2 linked regions of the Coturnix japonica genome follow. The protein of the gene in region 1 interacts with the protein of each later gene in a biochemical or structural test. Links are inferred from orthologs where the notes say so. Each region holds a gene or a part of one and is shown in the gene's direction. Other genes may lie near its edges.

The links.
Region 2: the proteins of MYO18A (region 1) and GOLPH3 form a complex in vitro, tested with the Homo sapiens proteins (2 studies listed by IntAct). The link is inferred for Coturnix japonica from reciprocal best matches to the Homo sapiens genes MYO18A and GOLPH3.

What each region holds. Positions count from the first base shown.
Region 1 is NC_029534.1:4,721,091-4,724,910, reverse strand, and holds part of MYO18A (unconventional myosin-XVIIIa), read left to right. Parts: coding exon 1-82; intron 83-479; coding exon 480-589; intron 590-665; coding exon 666-731; intron 732-965; coding exon 966-1,094; intron 1,095-1,479; coding exon 1,480-1,623; intron 1,624-2,380; coding exon 2,381-2,470; intron 2,471-2,546; coding exon 2,547-2,666; intron 2,667-2,741; coding exon 2,742-2,853; intron 2,854-2,940; coding exon 2,941-3,068; intron 3,069-3,152; coding exon 3,153-3,307; intron 3,308-3,820.
Region 2 is NC_029547.1:8,894,451-8,897,079, reverse strand, and holds part of GOLPH3 (Golgi phosphoprotein 3), read left to right. Parts: intron 1-2,330; coding exon 2,331-2,629. UniProt on the Homo sapiens protein: Phosphatidylinositol-4-phosphate-binding protein that links Golgi membranes to the cytoskeleton and may participate in the tensile force required for vesicle budding from the Golgi.

The sequences.
Region 1 (3,820 bases):
CTGATGCAGCTGGATGTGCCCCTGCTGCGTGCTCAGCTCCGCGGGTCCCGCCTGCTTGATGCCCTCCGCATGTACCGTCAAGGTGAGACCCCCCCCCGGCGGGTCAGACCCCCATGCGTGCTCCTCGGTGCCCCCTGGGGATCCCCTTTGGCACACGCTTCACTCTGAGCAGTGCTGCTGCCAGTGTCCTCCTCCCAGCTGTTGTCACACTGGGGACACACATGGCCTTACTTGGGTGTCTGTGCCGGTGCTGCCTGACTGCTGGCTGCTCTCCCGGGCTGTGGGTGACACACGTGTCTCTGCTCTCCCCCGAGGCTGTTTTCTCCCCAGATCTTGGCCAAAATTGTTCAACGTGGCCAAGGAAAGCCTCGTTCCACACAAGAATAAACAAAGGAAAAGGCATGGGGCTGTGCCTGGCCATCCCCCAGGTGTCCCGGCTGCCCCATAGCTGCCCCATGGCCCTGCTCTCCCCACTCCAGGCTACCCCGACCATATGGTGTTTGCTGAGTTCCGGCGGCGCTTTGACGTGCTGGCCCCACACCTCACCAAGAAGCACGGCCGCAATTACATTGTGGTGGATGAGAAGCGGGTACGCAGCCTTGAACCTGTACATCCTGCATCCCACACCCCATGTCCCACACTCTGATGCTTCTCCTTCCCCACAGGCAGTCGAGGAGCTCCTGGAATCGCTGGACCTGGAGAAGAGCAGCTATCATATGGGTCTGAGCCGGGTAGGAGCCCTGCAGGGACATCCCTGCTCTCTGTGGACGGGGCAGGGGTGGGCACATGGCACAAGGGCAGCACTGTGCACTCCCCCTACAGCATTCCTCAGGGAACAAAAGCCCCACACAGGGCCACCCACACTGGGATGAGGGCTGCAGGGCTGGGGATAAAGTCAGAGCACCCCTTTCCCATTGATGTGACACCGGAGGGATGCTGGCATCTCACTGCACTCCCCCCTCCAGGTGTTTTTCCGTGCTGGCTCACTGGCCAGGCTGGAGGAGCAGCGGGACGCGCAGACCAGCAGGAACATCACCCTGTTCCAGGCGGCGTGCAGGGGCTTCCTGGCACGGCAGCACTTCAAGAAGAGGAAGGTTTGTAGTGCTTCTCCCCTCCCCGCTCCTCCGCACACAATTTCGCCTAAAATGGGCAGCGCAGCCTTTCTGCTGCCGCCTGGCCCAGCGCCTCCCCCTCCCGCCTCCACTGAGCTGTGGGGAGTTGTGGGGCCGGCTGTGGGGCTGTGGGCTTGGTGCTGCCCCACGGTGCCGGGATGGAGCAACGGTGCCAGCTCCCACTTTATAATTAAAGACTGCGTAAAATAGGCATCGCTGCAGCACCTCGGTGCTGGAGGCAATCAGATAGATAAGCCGGGGGCAATTAGCCTGCTTGATAATGAAGGGGAGCGTGCCAGGGTGCTGAGCACCCATGCATCCCAGTCGGACGGCGATACCCCAGAGCTGACGCCGTGCCCCGGTGCAGATCCAGGATTTGGCCATTCGCTGCGTGCAGAAGAACATCAAGAAGAACAAAGGGGTGAAGGACTGGCCCTGGTGGAAGCTCTTCACCACCGTGAGGCCCCTGATCGAGGTGCAGCTCACCGAGGAGCAGATCCGTGGCAAGGACGTGGGTATCACCGCACTGTGGGGATGGGGCACGGTGGGTTTGGGGGAGGGTCGGTGTTGGGCAGAGCCCTTCAGGGAGGTGGGATGTGGGACTGTGTGTTGGATGCAGGACACTACAGTGGGTGAGATGCATGACCCCATGGTAGTTGTAGGACCCCATGGTGGATGTAGGAACCTGTAGTGGGGGGGGCACAAAATCCCATGGTAGATGCAGGACTCCATGGTGGATATGGGACCCCGTAGTGGATGAAGGACACTGTGGTGGATACAGGACCCCACCTGGGTGAGAAGCAGGGCACCCCGTGCCCCCCAGCACCAGGCTCAAATTGCTCCCTAATTTGCAAATCAGCGTGTCATTAGCATCCCAAGAGCCGGCTGTTGCAAGAGCCCAATTACAAGGCATGGAGAATGGAAATGAAACCGTGTGCCAGGAGGCGTGCACAGGGGGGAACCAGACACTGTGCCCCCGCCTGGCACAGAGCCACCGCCTGGCTCAGCTTTCACCCTGACCCACTGAGATGGTGTCAGTGCTGAGGGCTGCAGGGTCCCCTCCTGGTCCCATCCCCTCTCCTGGGGTGGGCTCACGGAACCCTCTCCTCTGGAGGCTGCCAGGCGTTTTGGTACCATTTATGGGGTTGGAGTTGTGCTGGGAAAATCCCTGCCCAGCACTTGGCAGGGGGAGCCCCCACACTGCCCGCCCCATGCAGGGGGGTGGGGGTGCTGCCAGCCCCATCCCCTCCCTCACCGCTCTGTTGCAGGAAGAGATCCAGCAGCTGAAGAGCAAACTTGAGAAGGTGGAGAAGGAGCGCAACGAGCTGCGGCTCAACAGCGACCGCCTGGAGAGCAGGGTAGGTCCCAGCCCTGGGGTGGGCTCAGCACGGTGCCGTGTCCCCCCTGCTGTTGCCACATCCCCGCTGTCCCCAGATCACGGAGCTGACATCGGAGCTGACGGACGAACGCAACACGGGCGAGTCGGCCTCGCAGCTGCTGGACGCCGAGACGGCTGAGAGGCTGCGCGCTGAGAAGGAGATGAAGGACCTGCAGGTATCCAACCGTGCTCCCACCCGCCCCCGCCGCCACCACGTGTCCTTGTGGGTGCTCACCATGTCCCCTCCCCAGGCCAAGTACGATGCTCTGAAGAAGCAGATGGAGTCCATGGAGATGGAGGTGATGGAGGCTCGGCTCATCCGTGCAGCCGAGCTCAATGGGGAGCTGGATGATGATGACTCAGGTAGTGTCCCACCAGGGACACAGCGTGGGCACAATGTGGGGTGCCCCATGCAGCATCACCCCGCTCAGCCCCCATTTCCCCTTGCAGGTGGTGAGTGGAGGCTGAAATACGAGCGGGCAGTGCGGGAGATCGACTTCACCAAGAAGCGGCTGCAGCAGGAGCTGGAGGACAAGCTGGAGGTGGAGCAGCAGGGCAAGAGGCAGCTGGAGCGCAAGGTGAGTGCTGCTCTGCACCGCGCTCCCCACCATACCCCCAAACCCACCCTGCAGCGCTGACCCCCCAACCTGCCCTGCCCACAGCTGGCAGACCTGCAGGCGGATGGTGAGGAGAGCCAGCGGGCGCTGCAGCAGCTGAAGAAGAAGTGCCAGCGGCTGGCAGCCGAGCTGCAGGACACCAAGCTGCACCTTGAGGGCCAGCAAGGCCGCAACCATGACCTGGAGAAGAAGCAGCGCAGGTGGGGTTGCGCAGCACGGCAGTGGTGTGGTGACATGGCTGTCAGAGCCTCGCAGAGTGCTTTTACCATTTTAGCTGGGCTTTGGGCACCCCACCAGCTCCCACTTGGCTGAGGTGCTTCACACAGGGAGCGCTGCCTTCGCCCTGCTTTGGGCACAGGGGTGTCTGGGGGGGGGCACCCCTTACCCGTGCAGGGGGACCCTTGTGCCGTGCCGCATGGCTCCGCTCTCTCCCCATCCCCTCTCCCAGCCCCAAAGTTTGCTAACGTTATTAAGCAGCAGGGACGCTTTCATCTCATTATGGTAATGATCGCGCACACAAATACAGCGAGAGAATCCAATCTAATTAATTTCAATTTCCGCGGATTGGAGTCTGTGCTAATGCAGCTGTTTATTACCCGGCGCAAAGAAAAATGGGGATTAGCCGCCGGGATGCGTAAGGCAGGTCACCGAGCCGGGGCGATTTTCCAAGCCCTGGAGGCAGCGATTTCCCTGCAAACCCCTCTGATCCCATC
Region 2 (2,629 bases), on another chromosome or scaffold:
GAAATGTAACAAATATTTTCAAATACTGCATATCACTTTTAGTTGATCTGTGTGGTTTGTGTGCAGATCTTCATATGAAGCTAAACATTTTTTGGGAAAAAAAAAAAAAAAAGGAAAAACATCAGTTTGATTTCATTTTTACAATTGCAGTTAAAACTCTTAATATAACTCTCCAACAGCTGTAGTCATGGGCTGTATAATTTAAGCTGATCAACAGCCACATTTAATAGCATATACTGGCTTTTTTGTCCAGTTCTCTGCTTCTTTGTATTTCTGTTTTTCCTGTACTACCTCAATAAGCCTTACTTGCTCTCTCATGTTCTCCTGCACAGTTCATACTTAGTCCTTTCCATTCCTTCTTTCTAGTTCTGTGAGTGTTGGTCAGTAGGTAGAGAGAATGAAAGAGTTCTTGTCAGTAGGGGGCAGGGCTGCAGCACATCCTCACGATTTAGTCTGTTCTTGCCCAGCCCTCCTTCACTTCTGCAGCTTGTAAAGGCAGTTCTTTTCATAAATACAGACATTTCGCCTTAACAACATCAAGTTTGTGCTGGTTCAAAGAAGTTTATGCAATAACTGAAATATATTGTAGGTTTTCCTTGGGGCATGAGCCTGATAAACTTTGGCTCTAAGAAAAATTATTACCATTAGTGCAGTGGCTGAGACTTAGATCAATCCTTTTTGCTTGCACCAGTAATTACTGGTTCTTCTATGGTGCTAGGGTATTTTGCATTTCTCATGGTTGAGAACTGCTGTTTGAAGAATGTTTTAAAAGAGCTCTTTAATCTGGGACCTGATCCTGGGAAAACAGTTGTTCCAGCTGTCGTTATCAGAAGTGCAAGAATACTGCTTCTGTTCCAATGTGTATGAGTTCAAAACCATTGTGGAAATCTTTATATGGATGTTTGAAGCTACATTTGCTAGGCCGGTGTTGCTTATAAGATAACCTCAAAGAGAGGCAAGTACAGGGAATACAGAATGTTGGGTCAAAAAGCCAAGTCTCCCTGTATTAAAAACATCCATCCATCTGTATTGGAATAAATGTGTAGTGGTAGAGATTGGTCACAAGGTGTCACCACAGTACTAGTTTTTATTATCACAGGCGCATCCACATACCAGATTTAGAAGCATCTAAGAAGAATTGTTTGCTCTGTGAAGAGCTGAAAGGACACTGCCATTTGGGGGGTGATGGTGTGTGATAGTTTCATTCGTGGTCAAGCTGTAAAATCCCATGGCAGTAAAGAGTGGGACCTACAGGACTTTTACGATGCAGTTGGTGTCACCCCATTTGTTTACTTGACTTGGCTGTTACTTGCATAAAGCTTGTCACCTTGAACTAAGTGGGAAAGACTTAAATTCTTCTGTGTTTTTATTTATTATTACTGAAAAGTAACAGAAAAATAGAAACACACTGCTGTAGAAGTTGTTATATTGTTTACAGAAAAACTGTTTCTACATGAGAAATGTTCAATGCTGTTTATCTTTCCTCACCTGTAAAAGTGCAGTGGCTTTTTAATATCAGGAGGAGATCTTAATGCTGAAACACCAAGGTAAGCTATACCTAAAAATTTTAGGCAAAGTAAACTTTTAAACAAAGATGGATTTCTCAGTGCTTAACAACTTCAGCTGCATATGTAGCTGTTGGCATACTTTGTGCTTTAAAAATTCCCTTCTCTTAAGTGCATACATGTGCTCTGAAGTGCCCTTGAGAGGAGCGGAAATGGGGGAAAGAGCATAAACTCGAGGATACAGAATAAACAGTTATGTAGGGTAGTTACACATAAACTTAACTTTATGGCAGAAAGAATGGTGGTGACAGTTCTTCCAGTCTCTGAATTGATAAATACTGGAAGCAGACAAATATGTTTTAACTTTTGGTTAGCCCTGAAGAAGTCAGGCAGCTGGTCTAGACAAACTTGGAAGGTTCCTTCCAACTCACCTACTCTGTTCTAAATGGACAAGGATGGAGGAAGTGCTTTTTAAATTCTATATAATAAATGTTTTTGTTATTACTATTAAAACTCTTTGTGACTGTTCTCCATCAGTACAAGAGTGCTTATTTATTGTATTCTCGGTCAAGGCATGACTTAGCTAGCATTTAATCCCAACTTTAAACATACCCTGAAACTCTTCAAATTTGTTCTCATGGTTTCTGTCCTTATTAATGTGTCTGGATAGGTCAGGGATCAGAGAAATGCTGACATGCCCACACTGTCTTACGGTAGTAGTCAGCTATATGAATTTGACAGCTCACTCTGCACCACAGGGAAAAAAAATCACTGTGTAGTTCAGCTTAGTTTTTGCCTGACTAGCTTTTTTGTTTGTTTTTTTAGGTGAAACATGGAACCCGTTAAAGTTGCACTACCAGTTACGAAATGTCCGTGAACGGTTAGCTAAAAATCTAGTGGAAAAAGGTGTACTGACAACAGAGAAACAGAACTTCCTTCTTTTTGACATGACTACGCATCCTCTCACCAACAACAACATCAAACAGCGCCTCATCAAGAAGGTTCAGGAGGCAGTTCTTGACAAATGGGTGAATGACCCGCACCGCATGGACAAGCGTTTGCTGGCACTGGTTTATTTAGCCCATGCTTCAGATGTTCTGGAGAACGCTTTTGCCCCTCTTTTG